Lepisosteus oculatus: one gene and its partner. The protein of the gene in region 2 purifies or fractionates together with the protein of the main gene of each other region. This does not show direct contact. Links are inferred from orthologs where the notes say so. Each region holds a gene or a part of one and is shown on either strand. Other genes may lie near its edges.

Evidence for each region. The genes of interacting proteins can lie anywhere in the genome.
Region 1: the proteins of cttnbp2nlb (region 2) and stk26 purify together in Homo sapiens (affinity purification with mass spectrometry; 4 studies listed by BioGRID and IntAct, with this or other methods). This does not show direct contact. The link is inferred for Lepisosteus oculatus from reciprocal best matches to the Homo sapiens genes CTTNBP2NL and STK26.

What each region holds. Positions count from the first base shown.
Region 1 is NC_090703.1:39,094,050-39,104,922, reverse strand, and holds the start of stk26 (serine/threonine-protein kinase 26), read right to left. Parts: upstream 4,536-10,873; 5' UTR 4,050-4,535; coding exon 4,008-4,049; intron 1-4,007. UniProt on the Homo sapiens protein: Serine/threonine-protein kinase that acts as a mediator of cell growth. Modulates apoptosis. In association with STK24 negatively regulates Golgi reorientation in polarized cell migration upon RHO activation.
Region 2 is NC_090700.1:31,688,157-31,699,360, forward strand, and holds the start of cttnbp2nlb (CTTNBP2 N-terminal-like protein), read right to left. Parts: upstream 4,723-11,204; 5' UTR 4,641-4,722; coding exon 4,635-4,640; intron 1-4,634. UniProt on the Homo sapiens protein: Regulates lamellipodial actin dynamics in a CTTN-dependent manner. Associates with core striatin-interacting phosphatase and kinase (STRIPAK) complex to form CTTNBP2NL-STRIPAK complexes.

The DNA.
Region 1 (10,873 bases), on a different chromosome or scaffold from region 2:
TAGATTACTATACGAACTAGAGAACCAACTAGCTATTGTTATTGTCACTAAAACAATTATCCTAAACAAGATGTTATTAGGCTAAAACCGCTAGTTTAATTGTACAGAATTCATCAGAGATGCAGGCTACCCATGATGCTGCCTAGGGAAAAGTTTGGCCCTTGAATCACATAGCTGTTTTCTATCTGCATCAAGTGTTTTTTTTTTATTGAGGCACCATTAATTAGTTTGTGCTCACTGAGGCAATAAGCCACGTTTTCATTTTGAAAATTAAGTGGCAAGAGACAAAAGGACGCAGTATTTGCCTGATCTGATGATTCAGCTGCAAGGAAACCCTGCATTTTTTTTCTCTGTCTTATAACATAGCTCTCAAGGATCCAAAACCCTAATGCATGAGATTTCCCATTGAAAATCTAGATCAGATACTATTTGTATTGATGGATTTTTTTTAATTACACGCAAAAAACTCTTGGCTTATTAATGGAATCATGTGTTTCTACAACAATCTTATATTCATTACTTCATTTTCTTTAACAACCTCGACTTGTTTACTAGCAAATATCAAGATTTGGTTCCAAGGGGCGACACTTAAGAGCTATGAGATTATACACTATCGTGGCTGTTGGCAAGCAAATGATCATGCAGTCTCTTATTATGAACCAGCGTTTCAATTTGAATTCTTGTGTACATTTTGTCTGCACTCATAAATTTGTTTGGCCCGGCAGTACTGATTTTTAGGCAGGTAGCCTATCTGGCTCATATACAGCCAAAGGAAACCCTGGCATACATACTGAAATGGTGAAGGATTTCATTGTTTGCCGTTTTCAAGATCATAATCAATTTATTTTCAGAAAAGGATACTTGCCTACATTGCTGCCAGCAATGTTACCTTCAAGGGAGAGGTACACTTTCATTTTCTTCAGCATACATACAGTACAGTATATACTAGTCACATGAACCCCTGATTATAATTTTAAAACAATTGCAAATGATCTCCAAACATATTGTAAATTTCAAATGACTTGTGCTTTTATAAATATACAGTATATAAAACTTACAATCTCCAGTAGTTTTAGAGCTGGAAAAATTCAAAAGGACCAAAACAGCAAATTACTTTAATTAATGGTTCAATAGCTCAGTTGGAATAAAGATCAGAAGTTGGATTCCACAGACCAGGATTGGTAATCCTGGTTACATACCATACAGATAATGTATTAATTCTTGTCATATTTTGCAGTTTTCAAATAATTCTGGAGCTCCACTCTGAATGACTTACAGTCCTACTATCTGTCCCTTTTCAAAAGCTTTACTATTATTCTGATACATACTTACTGAAGTTGAAAAGGTTCTTTTAAGTGAATTTACCGTCTTTAAGCAGGTATTGATTTCAAAAAGTACCTATAAACTCAGCTGGGCTGCCTGGAAGTAATGGGGAAGATCAGCTCTTTGTGGACACCTGAGATAAGATATGAGAGTTTATTGTGCAGATGGAGGACGGGGAGAAATTAACTGATTGTGAGCAGTTGGGTATTTGAGGCTGTCCAGATGGTGATCAAAAAGCACACAAGGCTTGCTCTATCCTAAAGTGTACAAAAACAAACGATCAGGGTGCTGTCCTTCTCCTGTGTCCAATTAAACTAATTCCCTGGAACCTGGAACTCCCCCTTTGAAAATATGTGCCGGGAGCAGGTTGCAAATACTTCAGGTTTCCAGATGTTTTCAATGCACTGCGAAAGGGCTCTGCTCCTCAATGGAAGGCCAAGGAGAATACTACAAATCACCTACCCATGGTTAGACAGTTCTTTGTAATAATCATTAATAATCATGCGTTTAGTGCAGACTAGGATGTCTATTTACTGTATGTACAGCATACATGTATACCTTAAGTCTTGCTTGATACATGATTTACTTAAACCATTATCAGGCTCGCTTCTACACCTACACCTTTGTAAAATGTACTGTTCTGTTTAAACAAATTCTAACACCTGTTAATTATATTCTCAGTCTGGCAGGGGGTCAGAGAATTTATTTAAAGTGATAGCATTAAATTAAATAGCTGTTCTATCCTAGGCAAAGCACAGCTACCAGCTTCACTCCCCACCGTCAAACAAGGACAGGGGAAAGGTCTCTCATACACAATTAAATTAGTAAAAAAGACTGGTGACTATTTCATGAAAAGGCTCACATACACACAAAACTAATTTCCAGGAGTCTAATCCACCATGGGCATGCTATTACATTATTACAGACAGGGAAAGGGTTTATCATAAACGGATTTAAATGATCAACTTCAAGAAGAAAAACCTGAAGATTCACAGCTGCTTTCACTTTCTTTTTTAACTGAATGGTAATTATAGGAAAGGGGCACACCTAAATCATAAAACAGATTGGGCATGTTGCTGTTCTCTAATCCAGTAATAAATCTCAAGCCACTCCTTAGCTACAGTGTCCTGTAGCTTGTAACTGCCCAGCAATGAGTAACTCCAATTAGTTTCAGGGGCAATGACTCAACACAATCCGATCAAACTGAAGACCATAAACCATTCGTAAAATACAACACCAAATAAAAATTCTTAAATGCAAGCCATTTACACTGCTGTAATGACCATCTTAATAACGCTGATTGGCACTTCAGTACCTTATTTGGAACTGTCAGATCAACTTAACCAAGATGAGGGTATTTCTCCATCTATAACAAGTGGATCTTCCCCATTAATTATTAATAATGGGTGTGACTAATGAATGCCTGGTCAGCAGAAATAATTACACCTGTTGGGTGTGTGAGGCTTAAAACTTTACCAGGGCTTACAGATTGCTCTTGTGGTTTCTCTTAAACTCCACAATGCTCGCTTAAGTGTGCCCGGAGGTGGCTAGGTTTTACAGTATACAGGGAATTCAAACTGAAACGACTAGCCAATGCTTCCGGCTGGAAGGCAGACGTCCACGGACGGTTGGAAAGTGTGTGGCAAAACATTCGTGAAAAAAAGGAAGCCTACGTAATTTTAACTGTCCTGGATCACATGTACCAAGGGCAGACAAGCAGACACTAACATGCCCGGAGACTCGCTATAAGCACGTAACTAGTACCTTAAAGCCCATTTAAACATTGCCTGCCCGCTCTGTAATAAAACGTAGGAACAACGTCTAACCGACACATTCTTCATCGACAACAGTAAAACAATAAAAATACGTCACAACGATAAATAAAAACTACATTTTTGTTGGGATTTCAGTTCCGATTACATTAAACCTGTACTTGACATTTGAATTACAACCATTCCTGTGCTTTTAAGGTACATTAAGTACCAGTTAATCGTACCCTGTACTACTACCGAAACACCTGAATCGTCTCTGTTTACAGCGATCATAGTGCACAAATGTATAATGCAAACCTGTACCATCACGACAAATAGCAGGGTTTATTTTGTCCTCTCTTCTTCACTAAGGCGCACACAGCCAACTTGACAATACGGAAGATCCTAGCTAATTGATTTGTACGTAAAGTTTTAGACCAGGCTAAAATTAACGGCTGGCCGAAGTTCAAAAACAGGAGAAAAGGAGGCGACTCTAAAACGCAGCAAGTTATTTTCGGCGCAGATAAATCGCACAGTTTAATCACAAAGGCTGCATGACCACAGAAGCCGAGAGAAACTTCAAAGTTCACAAATACATTATGGGGATGCGCTTGCGTTGCCAATATTTTAGAGTACGCGAGTGATCGGCTAATCTGTGTGGTTTAGACCCATTGAACAAGAATAATTCTCGTTTCCCGTTTTGTACCACGGTGATGATTCAGAAACCGAACCGTTGAAAACAAATTTTAAAATGACTGTGATAACGCCACGGCTTTGGGCTTTTGTTTAATAAAGCCAGGGCTAGCAAACTGGCTGCCAATCCGCCGGTTTGAAGCGCTCGGAGTCAACAGGAGCCGCATATGCGCAATTCCTGTGCTGTGTGGGCAATTTCCAGTGCCGTAGGTGAAGTTTGTATAACGAGGCCTTACTTACCTGCATCCCTGGCACTTGGACTGCTACCGGCGAGTGGGCCATCTTCACGTCCAGTCCAAAATGATATATTTTCCCCCAAAGCAGCGCTATATTCTCCTTTTAGCCTCTCTCCTGCTTTTAGGCTGCACCAAGCAAATAAACGAGGAGCAGCTGTCGCAACGCTGTGCGTGCCTGAAAGTTTTCTCACTAGTATTATTATTCCCTTACATACACTGCAGCTATCCCCCCGCTTAACTTTGCTTAAGCCTAGACCCCTCTTCACTGCTAGTCTGCCCAAGCTCCCATGCCTTGTCGGCTGATTGTCAGTTCACTGCGCCCTTTTGCTTTACGGTCGCTTTTGTGACCTCCTAGGTGCTGTTCTCGTGTTTTCTTCACGAAGCAACACTTGAACAGCATCTCAGAACTGAGATGCAAACGCCATGTTTGGCTTCCTAAAGTAGCTACTTGCTCGCTGTGTTAAATTGGGTGGAGCCGTGTTATTGAGCCAGAGTCAACACACACCACATTCACAGACGTCATCGCTTGCCGCTGCTGCTAGGGACTACAGTGTGTGCGGGATTGCGAGAGGCGTGTTTTACCATTATACCTTGCTAACGTAGCGCTTCCCGACAGGACAGGCCTGATTACAGTGCACATCAGTTACTGCTTGATGTGCCCTTCTCTCATCGTCTGTAAGAGTCGCACTTCAAGGCTTTCGGCGATACGAGCTCGACACAAACAACGATAAATATTGTTTAGCAGGCCGTTTCACAGTTCTTTTTTTTAAATAGCAATGATTTAGTTAGTGGTCATTTAAACTGAATTAAAGTTTTGAATTAACAGCCGTGGTACTTTAAGACACCAAGAAGGACGCAAACTTGAGTTAAGATTTCTTTCTCAGTTCTAGAAATGCTCTGCAGCTAAAAAGTGATCGAATATGCCAGAAAAGGGAGCAACTGGGGGATTAAAAATAAACCCACATTTTGATGAGCAAAAGAGTTCGTCTGAAAGGATGTACAACGTTGACAAATACATTTTATGTATGACAAAAAACGTTGAGAGATTATTGGGATTTTTGTATAAAAGGGGACACAGTGCATGAACTAACATTACTACGAAACATTACATTTCATTAATCAAAGGTGTCAGGAAATAAAATATTAGGAAGAAAGATTTACTCTTCAGCTAAATCTAAAACTATTGCTCTCGTTTTCGTTTTAGTATTGATGTTTTTTAGGCTCAGGCTTTCCCCTCAATCCATATGATATTTTTTACATTTCACCAGTTTTATTTTTTTCTATTTTTTCGGGAGCACTAATTTATTTTTTTACTGCTTCGCCTTACTTCCGTTTTCCAAACGGTATATAAGCAAATCTTCTATAAAGATACTGTACATGGTCACACCTTTCTCATTAAAATACTGTACATTGATTTACTTTTATTACATTGATAAGATTCATAATGCCTTATTTTAAAAATATTAATGGAAGTATAAAACAGCCCGCCACCTGCTTCCATTAAATCCCAGTTAATTAAAATTCCAGTGAATTAAAAGAAGTTAATGTATCGAGAAGCATGGCAGTTCTGAACCTCTTGATAGAATAATTGTCTTTTATCTTTGTTGATGTTTTGGTTGGATTTTATTTTTAAAAGGACTTGTGGAAGAGATTTCCCCCTGTATCCAACCTGCTCCATGGTGTTTGCTTGATCCTCATCATACCCCGCTGTTACGAGCCCAGCGGTAAGGTGTGTTTCTTTTGTACAGACAAGCAGCACACACCTGTCTGATCTGAAGCCAAAACTGTCAAGTACAGGCACAACAATATCTGTACGAGAAGAAATTGAGAAACCCACATTATTATCTTCATCCTTTAAAAATTATTTAAAGACGTCAAGGCAAAGTAGGTTGTATGACTACAAAGGACAGCTCACAAGCTGGTCAACACAGCAGGAAATGTGAATGTCACAGCGAGGTCAGACTAAGAAATGTCTCAGTAAGATACGTTTAAGAAAAAAGGCTTAGTTCTTACTCATAATTAAAGATACTATCAGAGAATAAAATACTCTCTACGTTTAGCACTGGAACAAAAGCATCTGACATCAGTTTGGGGGCATTCGTGTCCTATGAACACAGTAGAATGAAGAATGAGGACTCCTAGAGGTAGGAGATGGGACTGCAGCTGGGCTCTAATTGATTTTAAGTACTAGTGGACTTCATTATCATACAGTACTGTGACAGTCCAGACTGAGTGAAGGGTTCAAAGGTCTTGTGAGTATGCTTAATTGCCTGTTCATGGTGCTTGTAATGTTAAGTGTTAGTGGCCCATATGCTTACAAAGTATCTGTCTGTATAGCAGAGTCTGGGGGTTTGTACCTCACCCTAGACATTTAGGGGACTAAAAAAAGCAAAGACCCATCTTCTCATTCTTCTGAATTTATGTGAGCACCGTCAAATCCTCCAAAACACTCATCTAAAAGTACAAACCTTCGTTTTTTGCGTTTCTAACGCACACCATATCCTATTATAAAGATACTTATAATATAATATATCAGCTGCCATATCACCCTGCAACTCACAACTGGCAACCCACTGAAGCTAAGCAGGTGTGAGCCTGGTCAGCACCTGGATGGGAGGGGGTGCTCACCCTGTGGTCCATGTGGGTCCTAATGCCCCAGTATAGTGACGGGGACACTATACTGTAAACAGGCGCCGTCCTTCGGATGAGACGTTAAACCGAGGTCCTGACTCTCTGTGGTCATTAAAAATCCCAGGGCATTTCTTGAAAAGAGTAGGGGTGTAACCCAGGTGTCCTGGCTAAATTTCCCATTGGCCCTTACCAATCATGGCCTCCTAATAATCCCCATCTATGAATTGGCTTCATTACTCTCTGCTCTCCTCCCGACTGATAGCTGATGTGTGGTGAGTGTTCTGGTGCACTATGGCTGCCGTCACATCATCCAGGTGGATGCTGCACATTGGTGGTGGTGGAGGGGAGTCCCCATTACCTGTAAAGCGCTTTGAGTGGAGTGTCCAGAAAAGTGCTATATAAGTGTAAGCAATTATTATTATTATTATTATTATATTGTATAATAACACTCGTACGCCACCTACAGCCCAACGAAGAAACAGCACAGGCTACATCAAGTATCAGTGCATTAGTACGGATCTAAAACAACGCCACTTCCGAAAACAAATGTTAGGTTTTAAACGTTTGTCTCCATCTGCTGGTTGATGACGGTACAGTTCAAGAAGTACAGTATGTTTTATTGTGAATGACAAAACAGCAATTTAAGACAGTAACATTATAAACTGCATATGTTTTTAGTATTGTATTAGTTAATTATATATTCTATGGTGAGCTGACTGGAGAATGTGGTGGGCTGTGGAGACGTTTGTTAAATAACTTTAGCGTTTTTGCCTCAGAATTACCGCTTTGATTCTGTTCTTTCAGTAATGTCTGGTCTTTGGAGGTGGAATGAAGTAACATGTTTAACTTAAATCACAATGAAAAGGGAACTCCCTGCCTGACAAACTCTCCAACCGCTCGCATCTCCTTAACAGGACTGCGTCGTGCGTTTAACAGCTGAAGATGTGATTTGAAGCACGCAATTCTGTGATTACGCTCTGCTGGCATAAAGTCAAAATTAAATAGCATGGTCGCATATAGAGAAAGAACAGAGCCAAGGAATATTTGCATTATTCTTCTAAATAGAATATAAACGTCAAATCCCCAACTGAACCTGATGTCTACAGTAGTTCAGACGACAGGTTGTTTGTACAGTATGTCCAATTTATTAGGGGGCTTAGCAACAGAGTTCCTGAAGACCTATTTATTATTATAGATTTTGTAGTGAAAAATAATTTAATGACTATAAAATCCCTATAATTAACCAATGAAACATGCTTTCATAATTCCATTGGCAATAGTAACAGGTAAAAAGGTCAGACTCTAGGTCACAATGTGGTGACCATATTAGATTTTTTAAAAAACATTTCCATTATTCTGACTGTGCCTTGTCTTGCACGAATAACCTTAGCAAAGTTTTCCTTTTATTAAACTTACATTTTAAAACAAGGGTCTTGAACCCTGATTCTAGGCAGCCCCAATTCAGGAGGTTTTGTAAGTCACCATTAAATTACCAATTTCTAAAGCCATAGATCAACTGCGATAGATTAAACAGGTGATTTGAGAAATTAAGCGATTTAATGATAAAAATTAAGTATTCTTGATTGAGCAGATTCATTTTTTGATTTATCACCTGCTTTGTTTTGAAAGGGGGTAGTTGCAACCATATTTTCTAAAGTTCGGTGTAAGAAAGAATATTTCAAACCATAATAAATGTAAAATGTACACAGTAACTTTCAAACCTCCAACCTACATCAAATAGACTAAATTTCCAGGTGCACCCAGTCATATTCTGCAATTCAGAATGAGGCAACAAAACAGCCAATGACATGAACCAGCCCTATTACATTGTTAACTAGCAGGCTTGTGAATACATCTCTTGTAATCCAACAGAAATATTGCTCTCTATTTCGAGACGGTTTTGCCGACAAATAGTACTTACTTGTTAACTCTGCATGCAGACCACGTTGGAACACTTCTGCCGAGAAATGTCTGCTACACAATCTGTATGTATGCGTTCTTACTGTACATCATATTACATTAGTCATTACAGTGACTAGTGAGCAGGAAGGGCTGCATCACATCACAATTCTTACAAAATCTCGCTCTTGTCTGACGGTGAGACCAGGGGTTTGCAACAACATGGAGACTTACAGTACTTTCACAAAGTTAATGAATTTGGAATTCGAAACTTGTAATTTTTTTTCCATGCTGTCAATGAATTTATTTTGTTACCGAGATTTAATAATAGCTCTCAGAAATCGAGACTTCAGTTTCCCTTTAAAAATAGGGGACCACAGGTTTGGAGACCCCTGTTCTAAACGAATAGACACCACAAATTTGAACAGTACACAAGTTTCATAACTAAGGGTCATACAAAATATTAAGATAAAGCACTAAGTTATGAGGTGAAAAAAATCACAATATAAGGCACTTTTTCAATTTCATAGCCCCTCCAGCACAGCAGTTTTGTGCTTTGTATTGAACAAAGTTCAAAGTCAGGTAATGTGCAGGTTTGTAGTGTAGTTCAGTGGAGGTAGTTAGTGGAGGATAGGGGAGAAGGTTAGGACTGGAGCTGCTTCTGGATACCCTACACCCTCCTGGAACGTTTTCACATGGAAAAACAGGAGGACTTTCCTACAGTCCTATATATTCCTACTTTCCAAATATATGATATTTGTCCTTCAGTTGCAGTAGGTGCCATCTATTTTCTAACTAGTTTATCCACTCCAGGGTCATGGGAAAACTGGAGCATATTTCATCGAAGAACGGACATGATACAGGATACACACTGGATGGGATATCACCCCGTTATAGGGCACACACAGACACACTCACACAACTTATGCTCACCCCAGGGTTCCAGAGTTAAGTTTTCCAGAAACCAAATAACCTACCAATATGTTTTGAATGAGTATGACTGTGGGAGGAAACCAGAGCACCCAGAGGAAACCTGTGTAAACACAAGTACAACTTACAAGCTCCCCACAAATAGTACCACAGGTCTAGAATTGAATCCCAGGCCCCAGCACTGAGAACCAGCAATGGTAACTACTGAGCTGCTGCCCTGCCCTGATAGCTATACCAAAACCCTTTAACTCATTTTCTACATGACTGTAACACTAGTTTACTGCATTCCTTCCACAGACAGGAGATGGCACTGTGGGCTTATTAAAGCGAAAGTTATGTTTGGTTTTGAAAACAGCAAACAAGTATTTTGGAAGTAATTAAAGCTAGTGTTGCCTGATGTAAAGCATTTTACCAGCTAAATAGACAAGCTTCCTGATGTTTTAATTAAAGATGTTTTCCTCCCCATTGAACCTCCATTGTCTACAGCCATTACATAGAATTCTAGTTCCACGAGAAAGGTATTTCCCATTCAAGGCTTGCTTGTGGTAAAAAGTAATTGACTGTTCTCTCTCTTTCACTTGTAATCTTTTTACCTGTCCTAACAGTGAAAAGCCTGTAACTTGTACATCTGTGTTTTTCCAGTGGAAAAAAAAAACACAGCTTGTCTTCAAGAAGCCAATGTCACAGCCTCTTTGAGCAAACTAAACTTACTGAGGTATTATGTGAATTGCTTTTGGACAAATATGGAAATAAGCAGGAAGTACATGCTTCTTAAAAAAACTCCAGGGATTCCCCAAGGTATAAAGGATATCATTGTGAGCAGGACATTAACCTTCTAATCAACTCGCATCACATTTATGTCTAAAGCAACACCTTTACCTTTAGGGAAAGCCTTTCTTTAGAATATGAATATTCATATTCACTGCACATCCTTCCTTAAGGATTTGCTCTTTGTTTAAAATTACGGAATGAAACGAAATTACAGACTGAAACAAAACTGTGCCTAAAAGAAACATTACCCTTTTGTTTAGTCACAAACGCTAAGAAAGATAAGAACTGAGAGAGGCCCCTCGTGTTTGTTTGGTTACATTTTGTTATTCAAACCAAGACTTCAGCCATTTTTTTTATTAAATTGTAGTAGTTTATAACCATGATAGCTCTGGTTTTACTATATATAGCATTCTCTTCTAGTAGCACTATAAAGAAAGATCTGAGCTCCAGAGGGTGAAGATTACAGGCTCTACAAGCCACAGTCCGAAGGGGAATTGGAAAGAAAAGCTGACGTGATCCCGAGGGATCAGCACTTCCCCATCAGGCCCCGCATTTGATCTTGATTTCCTGCCAACCCAGGAAATGCGCACGTCAGCAAACTAAATCTGCAGTGGGTCTGAGGGAGGCTCTGGATTTTCT
Region 2 (11,204 bases):
CACAAATACTATCAAATTACTATGTGATTAGGTTGATGGGTACCAACCTTGAAAACATATTTTTGATTAGTGTAGTTTTGCAAACAAAATGAATCAATGAATAATTTGGCTTTGTGATTGATATTTATAATGATTAACCATGGAAATTAGTGAATAACATTGTTACAATGAAGAATGTCACTACTTGTCTGTGACTGTAGAGTCTAGCTTCACAATGAAAAGTGAATTTGGAGGTCAGTGATGCTCCCTTGCAGGTCTTGAATCTGGAGCTTGCTTCTGGCATGGGACATCTTCTTTGTGGAGGTGTGTCCTACATATGTCCACATGGTTTTTCTTCTCTGTTTCTTTCCTTAGTCCATACACTTGCGGTCTAGGTTAATTGGCACCTGTCATATGTGTAGTGAATGAGTAGCCGCTGTGGCTGTGATGGCTTCGCATATTGTCAAGGTAGTAAATGGTAGTCCCATCTTGTTCCCTGTGCCTGCTGTGTTAGACACAGGCTCAATGTGACAACACTGTAAACAGAGGGATGGACATCCTTGGGGGACCTACCTCAGGAAATATTGGACAGTCTTCCTAGACCTGCCCTATCCACAAGGGAATCCTATGTCTATTACTACTGATCCAAGTGATTTGTAAATTTGTTTCTGAGTTTGCAATTACTTAAAGTGAACAAATTAACTCAATATTTCCTCTTTGATTTTTGTCACAGCTGACGATTTAAGATTAGTTATTCAATTTACAAATGTACTTGTCATGCTTTTTAGGACCTGAGAACTATGTAAAAATAGAAGCTCATGAGCAGCTTATCAAGTGAAGTTGTTCTTGATGGGGATAGGTTGAGACCTACTGTATACTCCAGACCCACATTTCAATTCTGGGGTGTGTTGCTAGCCAACTGTAATAACAGTTGACCTGGTCTGAGGGCCACTGGATTTGGTGGACTCTAGTCAACCATGGTAGCCTTAGCTTGTCATGCAACAGTGCCCCTCAGTCAACACTATATTGTCTGCAAGGTCCTGTGGAACTCACAGTGGAGCGTTTCAAAGGCTCATGTCTATGGGCAAGCAGCACAACTGGAAAAGTGGTTCAATTCCAGACCTGGGGTGCTATCTGCGTGGAGTTTGTATGTTCTCCCTGTGTTCATGTAGGTTAACTCCAGGTGCTCCAGTTTCTTCCCCATACTAGTAGGTTAATGGACTTTGGGGAAAATTGGCCATGGTGTGAGCGTGTTTGTGCCTGTGTGTGTCCCGCCCAGGGTGTATCCTGCCTTGTGCCCATTGCTTGCCAGGATAGTCTCTAGCTCCCCCATGACCCAGAATTGGAAGAAGCAGTAGGATAATGAATGGATGTGTACATTTATGGTTAAATAATAAATAAATTAGCAATTGGCAATTCCAAACAGGAAAAGCATAAAAGAAAAATATGCAGTTTAAAAATGGACATAAGACAAGCCTAATCGGATGTAACAGCTACAGTAATTAAGGATTTGATTAATAAAAAAGTGAGAGGGCACTGGAACAGATACAGAACTGCATTTAAGATGAAGTTCAACACCACCAAAGAAGAAAAGTGGAAAAAACATTTTAATAAAAGAGATATTTACATTCATTATGTAGTGGATCTTTCAGGTCATCATTGCATACTGATGGTGTAGAAGGCTTTTGACCCAGTGATCAACTAAATCTGGGCACACAGCTGCCCTACTGCTCCAGTGTGCAAAATGTTGTATGTTGCAAATATAGCTGAGAGGCTAAGTCTGGATGCTGTTTGGAGGTTGGCTAGGATTGACAACAGAAAAAGATAAGAATCCAAAAGGATCAAACAGGAGTCCACACAAAGAGGTAATGAATGCTCCCCAGGTGATCTGTGAAAATGCCAAGAATGAGAACAAAAGTGAAGAAGCAAGTTTTCAAAACTGATGAGGTCATTCCCCATGGACTTTTTTGCCCTTTGTTTTAACCCTTTGTGGACTGCAGCTATACCAGACTATCTTCTGCACAGGATAAACACAAGCAAGACTGCACCTAATGTCATGGTTTTATTTCTGGTGGTGCCTTTTGGGGGCTGGAAGAGAAGCCAGAATCATAGATTAAAACCAAAATATGGTCCTAAGTGGAAAGCAAGCTTGAGTGGTTAAACTTTAAACCACCTGATGACAGCAAAATAGCTTCAGGCCACATACTGTTCTAGCATGCACATAGTTACTAGCTGGGGAGCTGATAGATGAGGACAAATGATACCTCGCATTGAAAATAGTAAATATTGTGTTTTCCCATCCTTCCTACTAATGCGAAAATCTTGTAGGCTAGATCTTTTCTCTGGGTTAGTGTGTGCAGAGAGGTTAGGGTGACTCTTCCATTTTTCAAGCTAACTTATGTAGTGGTGGAAGTCTGATGATTTGGGGAGGAATTGGACTTTAAGACAAGAACACCATTGGAGAAGACTGATGGCAAATCCTACTGCACAGGTAAACATTGTCAAAGATACTTGAGCCAACAGCTTTTCCATTCCTGCAAGATACTCCAGAAGGGTCCATTTCCAGCAGGACAATGCGAGACCATGCAGTACTAGGATTACAATGACATGACTTCCAGAAAACAATGTTGCGGACTTGCAGAGGTCTTACAGTAACCAGCTATTTCTCCTCATCTGAGTCCAATAAAACATCTGAGGGACCAAGTTGCCACTGCCATCAACAACAGACAACTGCATCCAGCTAACCTTTTCCAGCTGGCTGCAGCTGCACAGGAAGAGTGGTGAGACCTCCCACAACCATCTGTCCAGAGGCTGATCAGGTGTGTGTGTCAGTGCTGCCAAGACTGTGTTAATGTTGAAGAGGGTCATTCCTGATCTTAACTTTGTAATGTTTTCAATTTTGACGATAACATAATTAATACTGAAAACAAATCACAATTTATTTAGTTAATTTTGTTCACAATATAAAATGATGCATGATAACTGTTTCTTTTTTTACTAAACCATTTGACTTGAAAGTTATTTTGTGCCTACTCACTACACTGTCCTGCTAGGTTTTACTATAACTGGGGAGAAGTGTGGGGCAGGAGAGGAAGTCTACTATGTGTATCACAGCTTATTGCTTATGAAGCTTTCTTTTTCAGCTTTGATTTCTAGTGGTGCAACACTTTCAATCATTGCGAGGGCAGCCCCATAACAATTAATTAAACATGGATTAATTGTCCATCAATTAAAGCTCCCAGCTCGTTCCGAGCCGCCTAATCAAGTTCACCGAGTTTACAAGTCACAACAGGATTTGGCACTCGCTCCAGTGATCAAGTGCAAATTCAAACCTAACAGCAGTTCTATTACACTGAAACGCCAACCCAACTATGAGAACCTAGGTCTTCTATGATTTTTAACTCGTGTCACCACTACTGTTTCTACAATAAAGGGGGTTTCCGAAAGTCCAGCAGCGCAATGTGTATCTAGGAGTAGGGAATTTCAGTAAGTAAATGGAGTCTGACATTTTAACTCTACCCACTCAGTGATCAGCTTTTTGAGCCCCTCCCGCACAGACACGAAACCCCAATTGGATGCCTAAGCCTTTTCACTGTAAACAGAAATGCCAAGAGAACCGTATCATACACGCAGGAGAAAAGAAAACAGAACCTTGCTAAAAGCACATCCGAAAAGAAAATCTCACGGTACGCTTACGCTGACAAACACCTTAAATGTGCGTGTCAACAGAATATTGTTTAAAAATCTGAACACTTGAAACAAATTCGGTGCTGTACTCCGATTTCAAAGCGAAGACTTTACTAGAAAATGTGTGAATTATTTAATGCCTCTGCCAATATACCCAGTAAAGTGCTGCTTTGTCCCAAGTTCATAACTTGCGAAGTGTGATTAAAAAAAAAACTTTCCCAAAGCGCGGCTTTGTGGAAGATTTGAGACTTGACGACCATGAATGGCTATTTTAACTGCTCTACGGGTCAGAAGCGCCTACTATAATGAAGCCGAAGAAGGGATATATTATTTAATTCTACCTCGGACCAGTACCCCCCAACCAAAGCAGTCTGTTAATAACCCATTTTAAAATAATATTGTCTATATATGATCTTATTCGTCTTCATCATTGTCCATATAGCCATCATTATTTGTATCACCGATAAAACCTGGTAGTGTTATAATATTGACACAATCTTATCCAACACCTCTGTTAAATGTGACATCTGAATTCAAATATTTCCAGTTAACTCAGTTGTATTGAACGTTTTATCTTTAAACAAAAACACCAGGTGCTATGTTTCATTATTATTCATAAACTTTTGGTTGTTGTATTGTTAAAATGTATCGTACAGTTTGGAACTGTATCGGAAACGTAATGTTGTAACAATATTACATAAAAGAAAACATCAGTCATTTGGAAAATATTTTGTTTTAAGATATCTGTTTAAGCAAATTCTTGCACACTTTTTTTTTTACTTTACCTGCCTTTCCGTTTTTTTAGTTGTTTTGTGGTTACCCTATTAAACAGACTTCTATAGGAAACGATTCAGGCTCCAGCTAACTTTGTAACTAGTCGGTCCATCACACCAGTACATATTAACAGTCTAGGAACGTATCGCAGTCAATTAAATAGATAATTCAGTTAAAAAGACATGAAAACATACCTTCATGCGTCCCGCTCCTGCTGCTTTAATTTTCCCATCCAAAAAGACAAAAAAAAATAGTTAAAAAAAATCTGACGGTAAATCCCAGCGGAAACTACGGACAGAATTGATTGATGGAATATTCAGCATATCCGCAAGAGGGATTTCCAAGGATCGGCCTATCAGAACCTCATCTGGGCGACAAGGGGCGGGGAGACAGGTTTGGATTAGTCTCTTTGTTTAGATTTTTTTTGCTAAATTCTGATTGATGAAGTCATTTCCTGCGTGTTCCTCGTGGCTACATTGTATCCTCCATAAATTGAAGGTGTTCTCCTTCAAGTTTACGTTTTAATTGTAGCAGAACCTAAATCTCTGAAATTGCTACATTTCTTTATAATCTGACAGTTCGGGGATATTAAGACTCAAGCAGCACTCTCTAGCAGTAGCGTGGAGCAACTTTAAACTTTATCTGTTGGAAAGATTAAGAATTACACCACGGGACGGTGTGTAATTAAAGAAATCGAGCCGCAAGAAAAGTCTTAAAGTCTTAAAAACACTTGCCTCCAAGATCTAGTGACACTTTACGCAGTCATCCTCCGGGAAAGATGCGGTCTCAGGGGAAATCCAGTCTCCATGGGGATTCGAGATGGGCCCCTTATCTCTTTAGTCATCCTGGCATACTGTCTATATACAGTACACTACAGATGTATGTTTCATATTAAGAATTTAAATAGAAGCCTCTTTCTAAAGAAAGCGACGGACTTTCCTGAGTTATTTTCCGATGTCGTTTACTTCAAATTTAACCGGAGTTAAAGTTGAAAATTCTTCAAACAGTGAACCTATCAGTATCAGGATCTATTAAAAACCACTTTAACGTTGGTAAAACACACTACAGACTACAAGGACATGAGGCAGTGGAAAACAGTGAACTGCTCAGTTCTGGGATGGGAGTCCTCAAAGTGAAATCAGGTTTGTGGTCTCAGTGGACCACTAGGTGTTGCCCTATCCTCAGTACCAGAATTTCCAAACTAATTTCCCCATCTTTTGTTGAGCGGTGAGATTGTGCTGTTTCGGGCGAGACGTTCAACCAAATTTCTGACTATGATCACTGTCAAGATAGTTACGTTAAACCAGGAGTTTCGGAAAAATGCCATTCTGGGTTTGTTAGGGTTTTCATATTTACATTGTGGCTGCTGGTGCACAATGGCTACAGTGCGTCACCCATCATATCACCCTGCAATGCCAGCAGCCATATCACCCTGCAACTCACAACTGGCAGCCCACTGAAGCTCAGCAGGTGTGAGCCTGGTCAGTACCTGGATGGGAGACCTCCTGGGGAAAAACTAAGGTTGCTGCTGGAAGGGGTGTTAGTGGGGCTAGCAGGGGGCGCTCACCCTGCGGCTCATGTGGGTCCTACTGTAATGCCCCAGTGTAGTGACGGGGACACTATACTGTAAACAGGTGCCGTCCTTCGGATGAGACGTAAAACCGAGGTCCTGACTCTCTGTGGTCATTAAAAATCCCAGGGCGTTTCTCGAAAAGAGTAGGGGTGTAACCCCGGCGTCCTGGCCAAATTTCCCATTGGCCTTTATCAATCATGGCCTCCTAACAATCCCCCTCTATGAATTGGCTTCATTACTCTGCTCTCCTCCCCACTGATAGCTGATGTGTGGTGAGCGTTCTGGCGCACTATGGCTGCCGTCGCATCATCCATGTAGGGCTGCACATTTGTGGTGGTGGAGGGGAGACCCCATTACCTGTAAAGCGCTTTGAGTGGAGTGTCCAGAAAAGCGCTATATAAGTTTTAGTTAGCAAAACAGGATATCAGGATATGTAATTATATTGAATATACGTCTTCTGTGAAATTCAGTTTTAAATGGAAAACTAACGTTTACACAAAAAAGTCCGACCTATATAAAATCGTATATAGGTAGCGACTTACGACACTCTTGTCTAACACTCTTGTAAGCTACGAACCTTACAGTTACACTGTTAATACTGTACCTTTACAAGCTGAACAGTGAATACTCGTGGCTCGGGCCGCTGCGCATTGTTTCTCCCAAACGTCTGGTTCATAAACAATTGTACCTCAAGAGCATGAAAGAGCTGTTTGGTAGATTTTTGTTTCCATCGACACCATTTACAATTCTCGTACTGCCCTAAAGTTGAGTTTTTCATCGACATATCATTAAGTCTTTCCCTAGCCAGCAGAAAGACTACTGTACCTCCGCTGCATGATTAGCAGATATACTGTAGGCATGAGAACATTATGCGATGAGAGCAAAACTGGAATTCAGACGCCCTCTGGTGGACATAAGGACGTACGGTAAGGTAGACGTCAGTATTTCCCGCACTTCGAAAGAAGCATTTCTAGAATAAACTGAACCGTTGAATTTAATTAGGTTTTTGCACATTTTACTGTCGCTAATGCGGTTTTGTAATTTCCGCACATACAGAAATCAGCAGATATGGAAAACACTTTGGTTAGTTGGTAGCAAAAAAAAAAATAACTCTTTCTTGGTTTGATTTAAACACAAACTTGAATTGTACACCTGTTAGCTCTGGAGCCATGAACTTCACAGTGTACTCAAAATAGAGCTTAATGCTTTTTTACAGTTGATTCTAATCTTTTGAAAGGCTTCAATGAGTTTAAATTTGGTGTGGACAAGACACAATTCTGAGGAATGGGGGATTACAACCCATTCCTGTGTAACAGCATCCCAGGAAAAGGGTGTACTTGGATTGGATTTAACCATCAGTGACTGATCCAAGGCAGAGAAATATGTTCTATCCAGGCGAGAGGGACAGTCCCAGGGCTGTGGCAGTGTCTGGCTCTCTGGAGTGGGAGAATCCCAGTACCCCAGAAGTGTCTGGCTCGCTCCGGCAGGAGACTGTCCTGATGCTCTAGCAGTATCTGGTTTTCCAGTTGAAAGGGAGAGTCCTGGTGCCCATGCACTGCTCTAGCAGTGTCTCTGGAGTCACGATATCCTAGCTGGAGTCTGGACTGGTCTGGAGTTCCATTTTGGCCAAAATAATGTCAAAGCCAGTGGTCTTCAAAATAAGTATAGATTCTTCCCAAGAACATCTTTACACTAGCAAAGAGCTCATTAATTCAGGACATGGGGTCACAGTCCATTAGCTACTTCTGGTCCTGAGACACAAAATTAAAACTCACCTAAAAAATTAAAACTGAAACGTCTTCTAAAGCTGAAAACGCTAGTGATGTTTGAGCTGAAACAAGTTTTTGAGTGAGTAATGGCCTTTGCCACTCTTTGATATACTAATTAGGCACAGCAGGAATATTAATATTTATGCCAAGGTTTTCTTTGTGCTTTATTATGAAACCTTTCATTCATAGGAACTTGAAAAAAGTATCCTGGGGCACTTTTGTAATTGAAAGAATAACAGCTCTTTGTCAGTTCATAGTTACCATGAAGTGGTTTTCACGAAAACAGCCACGTTAATGCTGTATTAATTATTCTTGAGCTTAAAATTATTATTTTTTTTGCTTTTGCCTTCAGGAGATGAAAAGTGATTAAAAATAATTTTACTGATTTGTTTTTATTTCTGACACTAAACATCACACTATGAAAACATTATTTTAATTGCCTTCCGTAGGAAAAAAAAACTGTCACGTGTCAATACACTATGGCAAAGTTCAAAAGGACTGCCAAAGCGAGATTCTTGATCTTTCAGAGAAGTGCTTTAGAAAATAAACTGGATTGACAAATTCTCAGTTACCCATGACATTAAGTCTACACAACCCTTCTAAACATCTGCTTTGGTAAATACTAGCAGGCTGCTGTCATAGTTGAGTGCAGTAAAGCATGTTGATCAAAGCTTTGCAAAGACAGAAAAACTGCACAAGTCACATGCAGTACATTATTTAAACATAGTGAAACCCCCCTGTTCTTTTTACCCTTATCTTATTATTCTTATTATGCAAGCGATTAGCAGCAAATTCACAGACGTCTTCATGCACCAAGCTGTTGAAGTTGTGGAGATGGACTAGCTCCACTGTCAATATCCTATGATTATCATTAATTTCTATTCTGTTAATCACCCTAAGAAATTCTTAAAGACATTAATTTTGACATAAATCCATTCACTCATTTTCTAATCACTGTCTCCAGTAAAGGGTCACTGGGGAGCCAGAGTTTATCCCAGCAAGCAATAGGTGCAAGGCAGGGTACAACGTGGACGAGATGCCAGTCCATCACAGGGAACACACACAAGCACTGACAATGGGGCCAATTCTCCCAGAAGCCAATTAACCTACCAGGATGTCTCTGGACTGAGGGAGGAAAACGGCGCACCCAGAGGAAACCTAGAAAACATGGGGAGACCATACAAACTCCACACAGACAGCACCCCAGGTCTGGAATTGAACCCAGGGCCCCAGCACTGTGAGGCAGGAATGCTAACCACTGTGCCTCCCCCTTCAACATAAATAACTTTAATAAAAGATCTAAAAAGAAGACAAACAATATTGTTCTCTTCAATAAAAAAGGTCATTAATTGTAGTCAAAACTCAAATGTGGCTGGTTAACAATAATGATAGACCCAACAACAGCTCACCAACCAATTTTGGGCCAGGCTAATTAACTATCATTGTCAGCCCCATGATTGCCTACTATATGGTACAGTACACAACTTCAAAGTTCACATCTGTCGAAGGAAGATGCAGGATACAAAGAGCTCTTGGACACAGACAAGCCAGTTTATTTGACGAAGGAAGCTGAAATGAGAAATAGCTCAGGTGTGCAATTCGGGATGCGCACCAATGCCAATATTCCTCTTGGTCCAACCAAGGTCAATCAGGAGAAACAATGACGGCTTACAATAGCGGAGAACGATTTTTCTGGTGGTAGAAAGTTCTGCGAGTAAAGATTTATTTTCATAAGGCAGGCCTTTTAAAAGTTATATTATCAATTTCACGCCACTCAAAAGTCGAACGCTTCACAGCCCCTGGTCGCGTGTATAATGCGGACTGGTGTCCATCATAATGAACAGAAAATTACCAAGTTACTCTTCTGCGGAAAAGACGCTGACCCTCACACAGTTATTCATTAAGCAGAACCAGCGGTCATTACGAGAAGAGCTCATAAGCAGTCGTATCTCACCTTTTTTATATTCACAAGCTTGTTTACAGACACAGTCACGGCTCATTTGCGCCCCGCGGCGTCCCTACTGAAGAGCACTCGGTTGCGCTTTATCCTTACAGTAATTCAGCCCCACTACAGTACAAGCTGCTGTATGTGGGGTTTGTGCTTTATTTTTAAATTAACCAAGGTAACCTTCTGAATTGCAACATAGAACTAAATATACTGCTGACCGTCGCATCTGGGTTTTCTTTTTATATCTAGAAATACAGCAAGTATACAAACTCAGTTGACGGTTAAAAAAAAAGATTGTAACGTCTGCGTTGTAACGTCGAATTCCGCAAATACGGAAAGCGCCGGTCAAAGCCACTGGGCGGGTAGAATGATATTGCAGTGCTAAAGCCAAGATTAAAATGAGTTGTCATAGGGCACCGACGCTGAAGCATTAATCAGAAAATCACAACTAAAATGAAATCGCGTGAACCAGGTGAAAATTGCTGTAATTGTATCGTGATACTCTACCGAAGCGTCAAGTCCTTGATTGACATACAACGTTGGTTCTGGAGAGGCACGGTCCAATTGTTTTGTAGGTCACCATTAAACCGAAGCTGAAAGACATGCAGCAATTCTGCTGTGATAAATTAAATTAAACAGGTGCTTTTTAAAATTATGTAATTCATTATCTTAAACTGGTGACCAGTGAAACTAACTGGATCGGGACTCTCCGGGATTCAGCTCTGTTTTATTTAGCTAGGAGTGCCCTATTACAGAAACTTCAGAACCTTGGATCAGTTTTGTTCCATAAACTCGCGACTCTTTGTATTGTGAACTTTTTCATAGCTTCACGGTTGATTCCCATTATCATGATCATGCACACTAGAGGGACATATAAAATTTAATTATAACACATATTTGCCTTACAAAGGCAATACGATGTTTCATTGTATTGTTAGAAACGAACAAAGAACATATTAGGATTTGCGCTCTAATTTTGTTTAAAATATCAAACTGTACTGTGAATTATGAACATTGAATTGTGTTATTGCCAGTTTATTTGGTATTTTATGCGATTATTTTGTTCCACTTGTGGTGTTATAAAACATTTTAAGATTTAATATGTCATTAAAACGTTTAAACGTGAGGGTCGTACAGAAACATTTACGTACAGAACAAAATGCATTCCTAGCTCTGAAAGAAACTGTACCTTGAAAGTCCTTTCAGTACCTAATTTTAACTAGCCCTTAGTGAGGATGATTTTCCTCTTTGAGGTGCATCCTTTCAGACAAGCTACCCTTTCTCTGGCGTCCCTTGAAATTAATGTGACCTTTTAGACTGCAAATACTGGCCGAGAGAAAGCGCAAAAAAATCCCCCCAAAAAGCAACAACAAATTCAGCAAAAGCTATCGACATTTCAGACGATGTCAATGGCTGTCCGTAGAGAACTGTAAAGCTATCCCTTCCCCACACCGAGCCCAGAACATTCCTATCA